5 linked regions of the Xenopus tropicalis genome follow. The protein of the gene in region 3 interacts with the protein of the main gene of each other region in a biochemical or structural test. Links are inferred from orthologs where the notes say so. Each region holds a gene or a part of one and is shown on either strand. Other genes may lie near its edges.

Region 1 (4,151 bases), on a different chromosome or scaffold from region 3:
CACTCTATAAAAAGCCAGAAAAAAAAACGCAAGTATCCCTTGGTGCTGCAGAGGTTTGCCACTGCAAATACATAGACATACATAATACTCCTTTGTAAACAGTAAACAGTGTATTGTTGCTCTTTGTATCACCGTTTACCAATAAATGTGGCAATGCTCCTTTATACTGTATGAGCAGACAAGTTCTTTTGCCGAGAATTCCTTCATTTCTACTTCAAGCCTGTATATGAAACAGTACTACAATTTAGGTGTGCATTGTGTCTGTTTGATATAGGATTAGTTGTACTATTAGTATATCAGAAAAAATCACAAGCACTTAATACCAGTTGTACAAAAAAATGAAGAGGCTGGTAAGGTCTTTTGCCAAAACAGAGTAATTTTTTTTTTTTACATACAATTACTACTTTTTAAAGGCAAACTAACAGCACAATTTCCTGAGTTTCTACCTTATTTTAGCTGCATCAGCTAAACCTTTATATATAAATTTATTATGGGCATACCCAGGGCTGTATATTGGTCATGTGCCATCCTAGGCACCAGCCTAGTTTACCCCCCCCCCACTTAGCAACTGGTGCACATGCATTGCAGTTTGCATAATGCTCATGCACCAATAACTGATAGAAATTTCTTAGAAATTATTAAATTCCCCCACTTTGCACTAAGGCCTCTGGCACACGGGGAGATTAGTCGCCCGCGACAAATCTCCCTGTTCGCGGGCGACTAATCTCCCCGAAAATGTAAATCGCCAGTGGGATGGCATATGCGGCAGGGCAATTTCAGTGAAATCGCGGAAATTGCCTTGAGGAAACATCCGTGATTTCACTGAAATCGCGCCATCCCGATTTACATTTTCGCCGGTGGGATGGCATTTCGGGGAAATTAGTCGCCCGCGAACAGGGAGATTTGTCGCGGGCAACTAATCTCCCCATGTGCCAGAGCCCTAAAGAGATCAGGGCCAGAAGCCACATTGATACCACTAAACAATCTGTTTGCAAATGTCAACAAACACACTTCTGTGTGGGCCCAAAATGAACCAGCCTGACCTGATTCTGATTAGCCATGTTAGTAAATGGTGAATAGCCTCACAAATCTGTGTAAAGTGTTGCAGTTATCACCTTAACAGTTATTTAGCAGATTGTCTAAGGGCTCTGGCACATGGGGAAATTAGTCGCCCACAACAAAACTCCCTGTTCGCGGTCGACTAATCTCCCCAGATTGCCATCCCACCTGCGAAAATGTAAATCGCTGGCGGCGTGATTTCAGTGAAATTGCGCAAGTTGCCTCGAGAGGAAACCTGCGCGATTTCATTGAAATCGCGCCACCCCGTATGCCCGAGACACAGGTGGGATGGCATTTCAGGGAGATTAGTCGCGGGCGACTAATCTCCCCGTGTGCCAGAGCCCTAAGGGCAAGGATGCTTTCTGTTGATCTGAAACCATCCTACAAAAGCTCCCGTGTAGTTTAGTCCTGAATGTTGCTTCACTAACACCAGCATGATTTGTGTGTTGTGTGTAGACAAATGCCTAAAATAAACAGTGTTCACTTTCAAATTATTCTGGAAGTGGACATTGAAGAAAGATTTTCAGTGTTTTGGCACTGGTCCCATGAGATACTAAAAAAAAAAAAAAAAATGGCTTTGGCCAATGAGTCCCACAGGAATATTGACACTGCAGCTTAGATCGGTTGTGACAAAGATTTTTTTTTTAATAGAAAAGATTGCCTTTGCATTGAAGATATCCCTTAACTGTAGCGCTCTTAGTATTGACACACAGATCTGGTTGGGTCAAACAGGAATGCTTGTAACAAGCATCAAATCCCCTAAGTGCTCCAAAATATTGCGGATCCCTATAGAAAGAATCAAGCATTACCAGCTTAAAACACTTTGGCTTTATGCTGGTTAGGAGTGCATCAATACACAAGCCCTTAGAAGTCAAAACTGCCATTCCAGATAGATTCAACCATAATAAAATAACGCCAAAAGGAAACTGTAATTTTACCATCATGAAAAAACCAAACAGGCAAACGTTTGCCCCAAACTACTGGGTGACACAAGACAGCATGCTAGTTTCTGAATTCCAAATTAAAGGAGATTTTATTTTGACCAGAGCACCCTTGTAATCACCTGGTCCTTAAGCACATTCTGGTCAAAGTATTACACTCCCTGAAGTGACCTATCAAAGAGCTGATTGAATGGTGCCATCCCTCTTTACCTTTAAAGTTCTTGATGACTAACTTCTTGGCTGAGCCAGGCTTGCTGTTGGCAAAACTGGACACGGGTGAGGCTTTTGTGAGGCCATTGGCATGATGCCCAACGCCCACTGGGGAGATGAGCAGGTTTTTACTCCTCACTGCCTGGGGAGTAGAGGAGGATGAGCAGGAAGAAGAAGGAGACTCCTCGGCCATCTTCACATCGAGTCCTAGAAAGTCCAAAGTGTCTTCAAAACGCAGCTTCTTTTGGATGTGGTTAGAGGAGGAAGAGGAGTTTCTGGGGGGCGACAGGGGGTCCAAATCGTCCTTATCGCTGCTGCTGATATTCAACCTTCTCTTTTTGGAGGTGCTGTTTCCCTCAGTCCTTACCTCCTGCGCCGGGGGGTTGGGGGTTGATAAGCCTGTGGGAAACATGAAAACACCACAAATAGAAAAGATTCAAGGCAGCCCAGACTGTGTGTGACCGCTGGATCGTGTGGGGACCGCAACAAACAGCTAACGTGGCCCTTTGGTTAGCGCTTCCCAGTGGCCCCCTCGGCAGGCACTCTGCTTTAGTTCTGCTCGGTGAAGGCCCCGGCCCCGCTCTCCGGATATCCCCACTCTTTTTCTTGTTTATTGTCACAAGAGCAGGGAACCAAAGATGGCCTCACTTCCTCTCGCAGTGCATGTTGGGAAGAGTTCCCCAGGAGGCTGCCGTGAGCCCACACCCCTTCCCAGCCGGGACAGTCAGGGAGCCTTTGACGCCAGCTGCTGCCAAACTATCAAAACCAAAGGGGTAGCGCTTACTGCATTAACTATAGCGCGAAAGGCTGGCTGTGTTCCCTCTCTCCCCTCCCCTTTTTATTCTACTGTGATGTCATGGCAACCTTCGTACCTTGTTTTGACTGACCGGAAGGACTAGCGATGAGGTCTTTCATAATGCCCGACCGTGCGGGCCTCATCCGTCCCCTTTCTCCTCGCCGAGCTTCCGCCTTAGGTTGGTGCCGGCGAGGAGTCCCGACAAGGGGAAGGAAGGGGCTGAGGCTGGAAACTACTCGAGGGGGAGGAGTCGAGGGTTGAATATTCCCGCCTCTGTAGTGACGCCTAAAGGGAATAAGGACCAATAATCAGCTTGGTTTGGGTGACATTTCCCCCTGATGCCTCCACATGGTACCGCCTGTTCAGCAGCGTGGGGGCCGGAGAGGCTTAGAATAGTTACATAAAGGAGAGCGCCAGTAGTTGCGTGTGACGCTTCCCGCTTAAAATGAGTTCCTTGTGGAAGCTCCTCAGTAACTACTCAGTACTACTACTCAGTAAGCGTCAAACATGAAGTTTGTGTCTGAAAGCAATGTATAATGGCGTGTATAGCAGGGATGAAAAGTACATATATTAACCCCACTATTCATTTAAGTGCCAGATTAAAATAAACTTATATCATACAAAGTGGTCAATTTGGGTGATATAATAATCTCTGGGAGAGTAAGGCTTCCCATTGGATTACGCAGCTGTATACCAGATTCTGACTGAAAGCAATGGCTGAATGTGTTTTTTTTTTATAAAGCAGCTATTCTGGGTTCTCTATGTGCTTGTGAGCCTGCATACAAGTTATAACACCAGCAAAAACAACACATGTTAAGCACACCAAAAGGTGTATGCTCATACTTAGTTTCAGCACTTGACCCTATTCAATTGTTTTTTTTTTTTAACAGATATGCAAGCACTGGTCACTGCATAAAGCACTTATGAATCATCTGGTAAAGCTTAATAGAGATGTTACATATAACTAAATAACTAATTTGGGTTGACAAAAGCCCAAAGCCTATCAAGTTCAACATCTCTAAAAACCCCAGTGCACAAAAATACACATACCTATATAGACCAATCTATACACTTACAAATATAAACTATATATACCCAAATAATGTTGAAGCTAGGTGTTTGTAGAACTCACGGGCGTTGCTGCC
Region 2 (3,517 bases), on a different chromosome or scaffold from region 3:
AGCTATAATAAACAATAACTCTGTAAGTGCAAGAAAAACATTTAACAACTGGACGTGAAAATGATGTCCACCCACCCTCCAGGTGGTAGTATTTTAAAGATATCAGTGTTAGCACAGTTAAGCTGGCTTTACATGCCCAGATATATTATTCTGACATATTGATCTGTTCATCTGCTGATGCAATATGCATCAATAGATGAAGGAGTAAAGAAAATTTGTAGCTCCTCTTCACTTCCTGCTATTTCAATTGTTTAATTAAACAAATGGAACACTAGTATGGCAGCCATACATGTAAATGGCCACTCATATGGTAGCCGCCAATTCAGCCAGAGGGCTGATTGGTAGGATACTGAAGAGTATTATCCAGTGTATGGTCCCCTTTAAAAAGCCCCAAGGTATGATGCTGAGTGCTAAAGCAAAGTGGCCTGCACACATGGACTAACATTTTAGTGCATTACTGAATATTGCTCTGAATCTTGTCAAAATCTGTTGCAAACTTCTAAATATTAGCCATTTTCATTAACTTAGTATCATTTATATACATATATCTATAAAACCGCAGTGTTTTACTATTTAGAATTACAAAAAAAGTATTTTGCAACAACTAGAAACTCAGCAAACATACACCACTAAAGCTAATGCTTATCTCTTCTTCCGGTTGTTTAAATTATTAAAGTAATAGTGAGGTACAATCTGTGAGGATTTTGAAGTTCTCTGGAGTCTATGTAATGTCCATTAAAGTCCAGGTTTTGTATAAGAGCATGAAAATCCAGCGTTCTGACACCTTAAACTGAGAAATGAAAATTTGTTCAGGTCCAAAGAAAGGACCTCACAAACAGCATAGTGATCAATCGCGGGGGCTGGGTTTAGGTGAACATCTCCGCTTGACAGGATAAAAATCTGTTAAGGCAAAAACAGAAGCAGAGATTAAATATTAATAATGGTTGCTAAGTATAATAATGGGTGCTAAGAATACTTGCAATACTTGATGTCAAGTCATGCAAAAACCAGTTAATGAAAGAATGCAGCATATACATTGGAGCAGCACTAATGATGCAATGAGTGTATATCCTATAAAGCAGGGGCCCCTAACCTTTTTTTACCTGTGAGCAGCATTTAAATATAAAAAAGTAGGGATGTGGTAGGTTATTTGGTAGCCCAATGTGGACTGGCAAGCTACAGGCTCTGTTTGGCAGTACACATGCCGCCATGTGTAATAAAATGTGCTAAGTTTGCCCAGTAGCAGTTACCCCAAGCAACCAATATGTTTTCTTTTAAATAGGTAACCAGTTAATTCTACCTGCTAATTGGTTGCTATGGGTCTTTTATCATATAACCCCAATAGTGTTTTAAACTGGAAGATGGAAAAAGTCAGAAGTCTCTCTTCTAAGTTAGAAATTCAAAAATGAGCACCTGTTTGAGACCACTGGGAGCAATATAAAAGGGGTTGGTTAACATGCTTGTGAGCTACTGGTTTGAGATCACTGCTACAGAGCATACTCTCTGATAATATTTATATTCTAACTGCTATGTGGAACTGTTACAATTACCTGTGATCAGCTTTTGTTTCCTTTTGCCTGAATCGCTGCTTTCACAATTCTGGGAAGCTTTATGGGATTGGTTAATGTTACACATCTCTGCGGCTACATCTTGGCACTGGTTTTCTTTTTCACTTTCCTGCGAATTGCAATTCAAGGTTTTGTCTTCTACCTTCTCCCAATCATATTGCCCTTCAAGAGGAGTTTCAGTGACAAAGTCAAAGTTCCATTTAGCTTTTGCTTCCTCGTTGGATCTCTGCATAAGTTCATGAAATTCAGTTTTTAGCTGTTCATGGTCCACAGCTTCAAAAAGCATTCGACAAGCCTTTTCCTTATTTCCAGATGCTTGCTTGAGGATGGCTATGGCTGACTGCATTTTCTCTGAAAGGGCAGAAAAACAATTGTTGCAACATTAAAAATACAGTAAATATTGTTCCCTTCAGTCAACATCAATCAGTCTGTCTGTATATACTGTATTGCTCTTAGCGCTTAGCCAGCTTGTGCAGCAATAATGCAACTAATAAAACACACACAAGTGCACAGAAACCACATAGAATTATTCCTAAATCTATCGTATTGGAAGCTGCCACATTGGTTGCTGTGCTGCAATATTCTTGGCTTTTAATCAGTTACATTTTAACAATAAACCTCTCAAACATGGGGATACCAGAAGAAAATGAAGAAAATGTTTAAGGGCTCTGAATGGTGGGCCCGCTATATCATGTTCTCTGGTGGGCCATTGGTGTCCTAGTTCTACGCATTATCATTATTCAGTCATAAAATACATGGCCACACCCTATTCTGGGCATTTGAAGTCAGAAGGAGTGTAAGATAAACAACATGCCCTGTCAGTGTGATGCCCATAATGATGCAACTGCAACTTGAATCCCTATGGTAAGAGGTACAAGTTTTGCATTGGTATTCTTGCATCACGTGTGCTTAGTGGCAGCCACAACACCGATAAGAGGTAAATACTTTTGCATTGTAGAGGCAAAATTATACAAGTTTTCCATCATTTACATTTAGCCTTATTTGTAATTAAGGTACTCATTAGCCAAATAACTGAGAACTGTGAACACTGTACACTATTATATAGCATTAATGAAAGAATAGTGTTACTGAATAGCCCTACTTGATAAACGCCATATTGAATAAAGGCTTCAGGAGCAGGTCTGATAATGACAACAACACACATAAATGGAAAAATTGTAAGTTATTTATTATTTCTTGTGGAACAGAGATTTTTCCCTGATGCATAAAGAATGATGGGTCAGATTCACATTTATGAGAAAAGCTTATCTCCTAAATCAATTTCAGATGCAATTCAATAAGAAAAATGTATTGCACTGTTTATTACATGAAAACTGAATTAGGAGAAAATGGGCCCGATTCACTAAAGTCCGAAATAAGGAGTGCTATTTATAGCATGCGTTAAAAATCTTATCACTTCTTATTTTTCGCTCGATTCACTAAAAGGACACTTGTCATAATTAAGAAGCGATGTTCTTGGCGTTATTTATCTTGCGACAACATATTTTCAAGCAATATATTACGCAGCGCACAACATATTACGCAGCACGCTATATTTTACGCAGAGCGCAAAATTTTCAGAACGGTAGTCTTCAGAAAGTAATGGTTACGTGGGTAATATATTGCGCTCTGCGTAAAATATCGCACGCTGCGTAATATGTTGTGCGCTGCGTAATATATTGCTTGAAAATATGTCGTCGCAAGATAAATAACGCCAAGAACATCGCTTCTTAATTATGACAAGTGTCCTTTTAGTGAATCGAGCGAAAAATAAGAAGTGATAAGATTTTTAACGCATGCTATATATAGCACTCCTTATTTCGGACTTTAGTGAATCGGGCCCAATGTTTCTAGCCTCAAATTTAATCTCGTCCATATATTCTTGTTGATTGGAATTTGGCCCTATATATTACTATAGAGAGCAATTCATTTAAGATATAAGACGGATT
Region 3 (3,517 bases):
TCCAGATATCGATCGGGCAGGTTAAAAAATCTAGTCGGATCGGGGACCAAATCGCCCAAATGATCGAATTAGCCTGGATTCTCCCGATATCGCCCACCCGTAGGTGGGGGATATCGGGACAAGATCCGCTCGTTTGGCAACATCACCAAGCGAGTGGATCTGAAGGTGTATGGGGACCTTTAGAGTGCTGAAAGGGTGGGTTAAAGAAGATTAACTTTGCTTATTTTAGTAAGTTCACATTTTAACGGATTTTATTTAGAAAGTTTCTTATGATCAGATGAAGCTCATATTACAGGTTTGTCATCATTCCCCATTTTAAGTAAAACAAAGAAGCCAAAGCTTGCATACCAAGTTTGCGGGTGCTATTTCCTGGATAAGGAAAGAGTTTCGCTGGCACAGGATCCTGCCGATACGCACTGTAGTTTTTCCTCAAGTCCCAAACCTTGACAATACTAAAAATAAGCAAAAGGGGATATAGCTGAAGCAGTTAAACCATGAGCAGCTGTACTTTACTGCGCATTCTCTTCTTGGGCTAAAAACCAGCGAGCAGCCACGCGCCTGAACTGAAACCTTACATGTTGTGCGATTGGGCGCCACATTCTACTGCAGAGCCAACACTACAAGCAACACTAATGCAAATAAATCTGCAGAAAATGATCAAGTGTGAGCAGTATGGCAGTTTTGTTTCCAGTGCTTCATTTAAACAAAGGGCTGGCTCACCTGTACATTTTTATTATGTTATAGAATGGCCAGCTCTAAGCAACTTTTCATTTGGTCTTTATAGTTTATTTGCCTTCTTCTGACTTTCCAGCTTTCAAATGGGGGTCACTGACCCAAGTAGCCATTTTTTTGTATCTGTTAAATTATATTCCTGACCTTTCTATTCAGGAACTCCCCTACTCAAATACCAGCCTTACATTTACACCAATGCCTGGTTGCTAGGGTAATCTTAACCCAAGCAACCAGATAGCTGCTGAAATACCAAACCAGAGAGTTGCTTGACAAAAAGCCAAATTCATAAACTACAAATAAATGAAAATTGCAAATAGTCTCAGAATATCACTTTCTACATTACACTAAGGGGCAGATTTACTAATGCACGAGCGGACCGAAAGCGTCCACGCGTTTTTCGTAATGATCTGTATTTTTGCGACTTTTTCGTTGCCGTCACAACTTTTTCGCATGTCCCGCGATTTTTTCATCGCTGTTCCGACTTTATCATATATTTTCCGCGACTTTTTCGTCGCCATCGTGAAAAAATCGGATTGGTTTTTCTGCCGTTTACAATTGCTCAATACGAAAAAATTGCGACAGCGACAAAAAAGTAGTGCAAAATACGATAAAGTCGTGATGGCCACGAAAAAATTGTGCAAAATACGAAAAAACGAGACGGCGAAGAAAAAGTTGCAAAATTTTTGTTTACAATCCGATTTTTTCCCATTCGGATTCGTGGATTAGTAAATGTGCCCCTATGTGTTATCAATGTTACCTGGAAAGGTAACCATTTTAAACATGATTTTAGTAATATAACAAACTTGAATTGAATGTAGCAAACAAATGCCGCACAACTGTGAAACTGAGATATAACAACCAATAAAGCTTGCTCATGGGTTTAAGCTGTTGAGCCAAATGGGGTTTTGCACAGAAGGAGATCTGAGATGTGCCCTAGTTCATCTCAAAGCAACAGGCACGAATAGCATTTAAAGAGCAGTAAGAACTACTTACCCATCCACTGCTCCTGCCGAGATAATGGTGTGCTCATCTTGAAAGATTACCACAGTCACACTCTGCTGGGAATCCTAAAATAGAAGCAAAGATTTGTAAGATGACAAGAAAATAAACTAACGCTCGTGACACATACAGGGGGGGACAAGTCCCACATCAATAACAGGAAAACCTAGTTTGTCAAGAGACTCAACTAAAATGGGTCACTCTAGACAAGGCCTCAACAGTCAGGAAAAAGAATTCAAGCAATGCTGAGTGATTAGTTCATAATCTAGTGATATTTCAGCATTTGTTATTTTTTTTTTTTCAAAGGTTTTTATTTATGCATTTGTAACATAAAACAACATTAAACAATGACATTGGTTCTACAAGCGAATTCTGTTCATGTCAGGATATATACAGTACATTGACTTATATAATCAGTAACAACCTACTCAAGGTAATGTTAAGGCTTCCGTCAGAGAGGGTGAAGTGGACTCTGGGGTTCTCAGTGGGATTCGGATTCTTTGGGACAAGATTATGTGATGCTATTCCATAGCCTCGACCCATCCTCCCCATACTTTGTCATATTTTTGGGGGCATCCCCTTGCTGTGTAAGTGAGTTGTATCAGTGGCAGAAGGGCTTTAAGTAAATTGAGCCAAGTAGGGATTGTCGGGGGAGAGTGTGCCATCCATTGCAAGAGGATACATTTCCTGGCATAAAACAATAATGTTCTAAAGAGGATGCGTGATGCTGATTTAGGAATGATATCATCTATAATGCCAAGTAAACAAATCTTGGGATCGAGTATTTTAGGTAAAGATGTTGCATTTTGGATGTGGTCAAGGACCTGGTCCCAAAAGTAGTGTATTTGTGGGCATAACCACATTAGGTGAAAATAGTCGGCTTCAGGGGCACCACATTTAGGGCACTGAGACGAATCACAAATTCCCATTCGATATAACCGTAAGGGGGTCAGATGGAGTTTATGAATGATTTTGCATTGGATTAGTTTGTCTCTTGTAGAGATCAAGTAGTCATAGGCCCTGTCTGTCGCTTCCTCCCAGTCTTCGTTGTGCAGCTCCGGTATGTCTTGGCACCAAGCTTTTTGGGCTGTGAGAAAGGGCGATTGGAGCGTAGAGAGGAGCAGAGAGTATACTGTGGTGATCAGCTTTTTGGGGGAGGGGTTTCGAAGGGTGGTTTCAAGCTTAGTAAGCACAAAGGGGACTATGGTTCTTTGGAATTGGTGTCGGAAGGCCTGTTGGAGTTGTAAGTATGAGAACCAGGGTAATAGGTCTCCAGTATCTATGTGTTTGATCTGGCTCCTAGGTAGCAGGGCCCCAGCATTGGTCACATCTCCCAGTGTACGTATGCCCCAGTGTGGCCACACCCGGTATGGGGCAATTTGTTGGAAGTTGGGTAAGTAGTAGTTTCCCCACAATGGCAGGCCCGGTGATAGGATTGGACGTTTCAATTTGTATAATTGTAGTATCTTTTGCCATGCTTTGTAGGGTGTCACAATGACTGGGTGGTTGGTTTGGATATCTAATGGTTTACGAAATGGGATATACTTCAGAGACTCCATTGAGCTAGCTAAGGTTGCCTGGAGTGGAACATTGGGGTTAGTGAGATCTGGGGAGAACCACCATTGGACGTAATAGACCTGTGCTGCTAGGAAGTAAAATTGCCAATGTGGGAGACCTAGACCGCCTTCCGTGATTGGTGCTCTAAGTTTGGCTCTGGAGAATCTGGGAGGTTTGTTGGCCCACAGAAAGGCAGTCTGTGCTTTATCTTGAGAGGCAAAAAATTTGG
Region 4 (4,181 bases), on a different chromosome or scaffold from region 3:
GCTAATGGCAACCGTACGCAGAACGTGTATGTGGACCAGCCCTACTCTGTGCCAACCCAGCACTGTCCGTTCCGCCATACGTCACCTTACCCAGCGAGGCAGGGGGACTCCGAGACGGAAAGAACCCGGGCAGGGCTGCAAGCACACTCATTCTGCCGGCTAAAGGCCCACGGTCACATTATAGTTGAATAAATAAACCCACCATATTCCACCACAAATTCACAGCCATTGTTTAATATTTGTACAAATCCCAGTACTTTTTGCAAAAGTTGGTTGTCACTTTAAAAGAGGCCACAGGGGTGTAAGCAGACCCTGTGCATGCAGGGGGGGGGGGGGGGGGGGGTAGGAGTGTAGGGGAACCAGTAAGGCACTAGATAATGAGCAGTTTAAATATATATTGATAGAACTTGTTAATTTACCAATGTTTTGGGCCCTAAAAAAATGAGTTTGCTGTGGGGCTCAGTAACCTCTAGTTCCACCACTGGGAGGCCATGAGCAGTCTGATCAGGTATGCTCTCCCAACAGACATACAAGAGGCCATATGTGGTGTGGCTGACTTATTATTGTGATTGTTAGGGTAAATAGTTCTAATGTTCACAACAGCAAGAACCCAAAAGCAGCTACTTCTGCCAATGTACCATGCACTGGCTGCTATACACATACCAATAATCACATTGCATGAAATCTTTGCTTTGTATGATAATATTGGTACATATATGGCCGACTTGATTGATCATTAATGGTACTGGCACATGGGGAATTTAGTCTGCACTATTCATTTTTACTACCACATGAAACTACTCTCCACAGAACACAGGACTTTGGAGGCAACTTCAGAAAAACAAAGGCACATTGGGGTTTAGAATTATGGGGATTCAGTATTTGGCCAAATTATTTAAAAAAAAAAAAAAGGTTTGGTGCATCCTTAGATTAGAGTATTCTAATGAAGATTAAGCACAGTTGAGGTGTGAACCAAGAGCAAATGGCCAAACAGATCAGCAGCTGAATATATATTTGCGTTAGTGGAGACTGACAGATATAAGGGACTGGGCAAATGGGTTTTGCCAACACAATTACATAGTTATTTTTCAGTGTTTTACTGGTATTCGGCTGTTGTTGTTTAGGAACTACATTATCCTAAAAGGTTTATATTCACATTAAAATATTAACAGTATATAATTATTTTTAGATCAAGTTATTAATTTCTATAGTGAAGTAATGGAGATTTTGATGCCATAACAAAATCATAGTTTTAGACAATCATTTTTTTCCATCCATGGACAAAGCATAATTATTTGTGAGGCCATGGTGTTCTATTTCACCTCCTGATACAAAGACAATAGGCTAAAGTCACACACAGTTGTTTATCTGCCTCCAGCTAATACAGCTGATTCACTACCATCATCTACAGCTGAACTGACAGGCATGGTTTTAGACTGTGCGTAAACACATGCAAGAGAATGCATTTCTACACCAAAATCCACTCCATGTGTCAGCAAAGAGGCCAATGATGTGCCTATCTACATCACGGAGTGGATCATTAGTTTCTCTGCCTATGTTTCCAAGCAGGCAGAGAAACAGACAGGTGTGGCATTAGCCTTATAGGGGACTATATTATCATACAAATGGGTCTATTGGGAGCCATCCCCCTGTGGACAGAAGGGTGGGGAAGCCAAGGGTTAAGATCAAATTAAATGGTCATCAACTCCAAAGGACAACATTTTACCTAATAAAAAGAAAACGTAGCTTTCCAATATTTATTCATAAAAAGGGTCACTTATTTGTAACTGCAATTAAAAGCATCTGTTTGCCCATTGAACCTAATGGTTCCGACTTTTGAAACAAATGAGCAGCAGCCAGCAGATTAAAGGAACAGTAACATCAAAAAATTAAAGTGTTTTAAAGCAATTAAAATATAATGTGCTGTTGCTCTGCAAAAAATTGTGTTTTTGCTACAGAAAAGCTACTATATAAATAAGCTGCTGTGTAGCCATGGGGGCAGCCATTCAAGCTGGAAAAAAGGAGAAAAGGCTGTTATCTGCTAAGTAATCTGTGCCTTTTCTCCTTTGAATGGCTGCCCCCATGGCTACACAGCAGCTAACTTATATAAACTATAGTAGTCTTTCGGAGGCAAACACACCAGTTGTAGCAATGCAGGGCAACAGTACATTACTTTTATGCACTTTCATTTTTTGGTGTTACTGTTCCTTTAACAGACTTGTTTCGGTGGAAGAGAAGTGACCTTTCTAGGTTTTCATGTAGCAGTGAATAGCAGTGACATGATCAGAAGCTACCGGGATCCATAGCAGTCATGTAAGGGTTCTCCAAAAGTTTAGGATGATATTTTCAGTGCCTTCTGCCTCCTACCCCCTGCTGCAGGGCAGAATATTAGTGTGCCCCCACTAGTTGCTTTCCTTGCACTAAAACGCCTTACTTTTCCGGCTGTTGGGTTGAACACATAGTCGCACCTACAGACCGGCTACCTACACAAACTATTAAGACATTGCGGAGCATTGATTCCCGATAGCGAACCAAATATCTTCTTAGTATGACCCAAGATTACTAACGATGCACATGCAATCTAGCCATGTTTGTTTCACTACTAACTACATACTACTAAACGTTTCATTAATTAAAATACACAAATGTACCTCTTCCCATGATGCCTTGGTGTTCGATTATCCCTGCTCGCCTCGAAATCCAACAGTATAAATAGCAAAACGCAGAAGGAATATGTAGTATGCACGCCACTGCATTAGGTTTAAAGCCCCACGAAACACATTTTAAGAAAGAAGCTTAAACCCGCACGTATCCGCCCATCTCTTCCACAATTGGCTTACATTGCTGTCCATCGAAACAACCCTTTTATGGCATTGGTGTAACACCAAGCGTATTGCAACGCCCAACACAATGGCCACGACCCTCTAGTTTCGCGTGTGCTTTTTTGAAAATTGTATTACCCTGTGTCTGATTGGACCCGGTGGGAACGATGTTGCAATCTCATTGGTCAGTATGACTGTGCAGGAGTTCTGGGTGTAAACTGAATGGCATTTGGTAATGTTCGGAGTTTTTCAGGTGTGCAGAACAGAGGAGAACAATAATTACAATTTTGCGTGCGTATGTTGTGTTTATCAGACAGTATTTGGGGCTTCCATCCCAAGGACTGTCTATAAAGTTACAACGCCTTGGGGGCATTTAAAAAGGTGCACGATAACGCTGCAGCGATAAATACGGTGAGCAGCGCAAAAGACGATCTGTAGACTGCGTAGTAGCCTACAAAATCTGATCTCCATTAATTGTAACTTAAAGTCGGATCAGATAAAGTTGGTCTGTGTGTTTTGTTCCTGCATTCAGTGTTTCCTTCCGATAGGCGTGTAGCGTTCCATTGTAATCCTTTCATGTACTTACCCATCAGTTTTTTGTTTTAGTTCCAATATATACAGTATTTTAACCCATGCAACTACATCAGACCTAGGAGTAGGATGCGTTTTGACAATCGGACACCATCCTACAAACTTTCCATGGAGTTTATAACTATTTACAATTGGTTTTGATTGTTATGTTTTTAAAGGTTTGTGAATGATTAAGCTTTCTGTTCAGTAGCTCTCCAGTTTGAAATTTAAACAGTTGTGTGTTTGTTAGGTTTACCCTAGCAATCAAGCAGTGGTTTCAGTGAGAGACTGGAAGATAAATAGGACGGACAGGGCCTCAATAGAATGAGAAGCAACAAAAAATAACAATACAATTCTAGCCTAACAGAGCAATAGTTATTTGGCTGCTGGGGTCAGTGACCTCCATGGGAGAGCTGAAAAGAGGCAGAATAAAAAGAAAAATAAGACCAACTGAAAAGGTGTAAAAAATAAAATATTCTATAACATGCTTAAAACAAATAACCCCTTTAAGAATTCTTAGAAAATAATGTGTTGTGCTTTATTGATACTAGCATTCCATGTGTGTTCTAGCCCTAACCTGACATAGTTACCAGCAGCCATAATAGTGACACTAGATTCTTATGATTGTTTTTAGTACATATAATTTGTTTCAGACCTTCTATTGATTTTCCAGTCTGTCATTCAAACCATTTGCCTGGTTGTGAGGGTGAGTGGGACCAGAGAATAGTTACAGTTTAAATCTGAATATCTGCATTGGCCTTTAAAAAAAGGTTAACTGCTGCATATCCA
Region 5 (3,517 bases), on a different chromosome or scaffold from region 3:
TTATAAAAGGATAAGAACAGTAAGGATCATTGGGGGTGTTAAGATGTTAGGCACCCCCCTTTACTGCTAAAGGTGGCCAATGTTATTAATACATGAACATAAATATAAAAACCAATGACTGCAATACATAGTGCATTCTAGCAGCAATGGCTGCACTGAAAGTTAATACACAGTCAAAACTGCATGTGTAAGATTTTAATTGCATGTCGCAGAACAGAGAAATCTACTGTGATGGTAGTCAGTTACTTGCGAGCCACAGGCAGACAAGGGGTCGACTATAAACACACTTTTAGATAGCTGGCAGCGTAGCAGTAACAGAAAACCCAAAGCATTCAATATACCTTAGAAAGTCTAAAATCTAACAGAATCCTGTCTTCCATTTCCACAAGGTTCACCTTGAATATTAATTTATTATTTCTTCTGTCAGTAGTTGATAGGGTGACCTGTAGTAGACAAAAACAAAGTACCTAATTATACAGATGCAGTTTTTTTCTTGAAAAACAAGTATACTAATAATGCTTGTATTAACTTACTTCATAATGTAATTGTATTAACAAACAATTAGACTACATATTATAACAGTCCTTTAAACAAAAAAATTATCGCATAAGCAACCAATATTCTTTTCTTCCAGTTTACAGCACATGCTCTCATCTGCTGTCAGTTACCCTCTGTACAGTTAGGGGCTGTTATGGCACATAATACGCTGTCAGGGAGCCAGGTTTGCAAAAGCTGAGTTGGCAGGCGAGAAAATTCATATACATTTTTTTCATTTTGGGGTCTCTACATAATGCATACTTTGAAGCACCATATGCATAGATATACCAAACCAACAATTCCTATTTTCCTAATCAAATTAGGAATTGTTGGTTTGTTAAACAGGTAGCGTAAACTAAAGAAAATTGATTTAATTCTCTAGCACATAATTATTTATTCATTGCTCTGTGTATGTACAGGTATATGCAAAATATGTGTTTGCACTTGCACAGTATGTATGTGAAATGTAATGTTTCTTTTTGGGTGGGCCTTTAATTTGCAATTTTGTCTCATTTGTATACTCCGTATGCAAATGTGATAACAAAGCTGGAGACCTCTGGCATTCATATTTGGGGTAAACTGCTTTTGTATGTAAGAAACTGTGTAAGATAAATGCGTCATATTGCAACATTTTTAGACAGATTGGTACTTTGGTAAAGACGCCTTTTTACACCAATGTTGAAACTGTCAAAATGTGTACTTTCCAAAAACATATTGTTTTCCGTAAGCTTCTGTACAGTTAGGGGGTCTTTCATATATACAATATGCAGTCATGGGGCTCGTTTTGCAGAAATTAATTTTGGCAGACGAGAAAACTTCATTTGGCAGACGAGAAAACGTCATATGCTTTATATTTAATTTGGGGTTTGTACATTTCACATACTTTGGTATATCTATGAATATTGGGCATAAAACTGTTCAGTAGACTTCTGGTGTTCATATTTGGGGTGATTTGCCTTTGTATGTAAAAAAAAACTGCAAGATAAATGAGGCTAATTGCAAGATTTTTAGGCGATTTTTAAAAATGCTTTCAGAACCGCTAACCTTACAAAATTTGCGCTGTTTCTAAAATATATGGCTTTCAGAGGTCACCCTACTTTTTTGCAGTTTGTACCACACATAAAACTGCCAGTGTGTTTATGGATTAGGTGAATGGAAGTCATGAAATTAGTGCGCATAAGGTATATTTTGGGGTTCCTGAGGGCCATGTGCTTTGATAAACCTATGTACAGTGAGCATCAAACTGTTCTGTAGACCTCTAGGGTACCTAATGACCTGTAGGAGATAATATGCTGGAAGTTTTGAGGTGATTTTTAGAAAGTTCATCAAAATCAAGACGTTTAGGAAAGAACTTTTTTCTAGGTTTACCCCACTTAAAATGCTGTCAATGTGTTGATTTTGCAGTAACATGACAGATAATATGGCAAATAGAATCAGTTAACATGCGCTTACACAGTGAAAATAGCTTTTTGTAGCCCCAGGTGCACGCTGTACCCACTGCCCGGGCAAATAAGTACAAAAATGATGAAAACAGCAGCACTCCGGTTGTTTTGAAAAAATTTGAAACTTTACAGTGCCAAAAGCAACATTTCAGGCTTCAATCCAGCCCTTTATCAAGCCTCTCATCTCATCACCATTTATGGGCCTCTAAATGCCACATACTTGGGTAAACCTATACACATCTGGTATCTGGTAACTGTTCAGTAAACCCGTGGTGTTCATAGGAATAACAAAAAGAAAAAAAAAACCCATAGACCTTTGTGTTGAATACAACAATAGGCAGAAACTATGTTCAGCACAAGCCCTATTCATAGATGCTGAAAAGGAGGTAAACTGCCCCTTTATATGTACTGATTTTTGGATAGTATTTCTGGACAGTATCCAGTGACTGCTGTCTGATAAAAAAATGTGCCATGTTCCTAATTTGCCATTTATGATTTAAAGAAAATTAGTAAGCTCCACCAATTATACTACAGCTATGGGATCGCTTATCCAGAAACCATTTATCCAGAAAGTTCATCTCCCATAGACTCCATTATAAGCAAATAATTCTAATTTTTAAAAATGATTTCCTTTTTCTCTGTAATAATAAAACTGTACCATGTACTTGATATCAACTAAGATATAATTAATCCTTATTGAAGGCAAAACAATCCTATTGGGTTTATTCAATAAATGATTTTTAGCAGATTTAAGTTATAGAAATCCAAATTACAGAAAGATTCCTTATCTGGAAAACCCCATATCCCGAGCATTCTGGAAAACAGGTCCCATACCTGTACCTAAATTGTTATTCTGACTATTTTCCCTGGCCTCACTCCAGCCAAAAATGTAAACACCCTGAGGTTTCAGTTTCAACAATTGCTGCTTGTGTTGAAAAGCCAAAGATCTTAAGGGTCTATATTACTTGTACAAGAACTATTACCCCAAAATATACCTCAGAGCCAAAAGGCATTGTTAAAATGGCAACAGAAATGTAAAAATTTCAAACATTAAAAAGCACACCTTTACGTTTCGTTTACTGCTTTTTTGAAGAGCAAGTTTCAAAGACCTTTAAATCTTTTCAGACTACTAGAATTGGCCTATCATTATTGCTTTTACATATCAACTTTTATTGAAAAATTAAATTTTACAGTAATAGCTTAGAGATTGATTAAGATCACCTTTGATCCTTCAATCGTCAAGACAAAAACAGTCTGCAAGGTGTATGTACATTTTTGACCCATAGGAAATAAGATTGTTTTCTAAAAACAAGGATAGAAGAAACTAATGTACACTTTTTACTTTTATAGTTTTTTTGTGTTTACAATAAATAGTATTTTTGTTTGTTTTATATGCTTTTTCTTGTTTACTGGGGTTTTGGAAAATGTAAGCCTAAAATCATATGATTAGAAGCTTTATTGAGGGGGTACTCACCTGGTTAGCACAAGACTTCTTTAAAACATATCCCATTTTTTCACAAGTGTCCATCAAATTGCTG

The links.
Region 1: the proteins of dtl (region 3) and cul4b form a complex in vitro, tested with the Homo sapiens proteins (2 studies listed by BioGRID). The link is inferred for Xenopus tropicalis from reciprocal best matches to the Homo sapiens genes DTL and CUL4B.
Region 2: of the proteins of dtl (region 3) and cdkn1a, one has a biochemical effect on the other in vitro, tested with the Homo sapiens proteins (3 studies listed by BioGRID, with this or other methods). The link is inferred for Xenopus tropicalis from reciprocal best matches to the Homo sapiens genes DTL and CDKN1A.
Region 4: the proteins of dtl (region 3) and kmt5a form a complex in vitro, tested with the Homo sapiens proteins (2 studies listed by BioGRID, with this or other methods). The link is inferred for Xenopus tropicalis from reciprocal best matches to the Homo sapiens genes DTL and KMT5A.
Region 5: of the proteins of dtl (region 3) and chek1, one has a biochemical effect on the other in vitro, tested with the Homo sapiens proteins (2 studies listed by BioGRID). The link is inferred for Xenopus tropicalis from reciprocal best matches to the Homo sapiens genes DTL and CHEK1.

What each region holds. Positions count from the first base shown.
Region 1 is NC_030684.2:46,091,662-46,095,812, forward strand, and holds the start of cul4b (cullin-4B), read right to left. Parts: upstream 2,815-4,151; 5' UTR 2,623-2,814; coding exon 2,211-2,622; intron 1-2,210.
Region 2 is NC_030678.2:54,653,588-54,657,104, forward strand, and holds part of cdkn1a (cyclin-dependent kinase inhibitor 1), read right to left. Parts: intron 1,920-3,517; coding exon 1,551-1,919; intron 901-1,550; coding exon 848-900; 3' UTR 1-847. UniProt on the Homo sapiens protein: Plays an important role in controlling cell cycle progression and DNA damage-induced G2 arrest. Involved in p53/TP53 mediated inhibition of cellular proliferation in response to DNA damage.
Region 3 is NC_030681.2:14,739,127-14,742,643, forward strand, and holds part of dtl (denticleless protein homolog), read right to left. Parts: intron 1,800-3,517; coding exon 1,726-1,799; intron 453-1,725; coding exon 349-452; intron 1-348. UniProt on the Homo sapiens protein: Substrate-specific adapter of a DCX (DDB1-CUL4-X-box) E3 ubiquitin-protein ligase complex required for cell cycle control, DNA damage response and translesion DNA synthesis.
Region 4 is NC_030677.2:161,074,438-161,078,618, forward strand, and holds the start of kmt5a (N-lysine methyltransferase KMT5A), read right to left. Parts: upstream 2,806-4,181; 5' UTR 2,662-2,805; coding exon 2,652-2,661; intron 1-2,651. UniProt on the Homo sapiens protein: Protein-lysine N-methyltransferase that monomethylates both histones and non-histone proteins. Specifically monomethylates 'Lys-20' of histone H4 (H4K20me1).
Region 5 is NC_030683.2:74,045,675-74,049,191, forward strand, and holds part of chek1 (serine/threonine-protein kinase Chk1), read right to left. Parts: coding exon 3,454-3,517; intron 444-3,453; coding exon 342-443; intron 1-341. UniProt on the Homo sapiens protein: Serine/threonine-protein kinase which is required for checkpoint-mediated cell cycle arrest and activation of DNA repair in response to the presence of DNA damage or unreplicated DNA.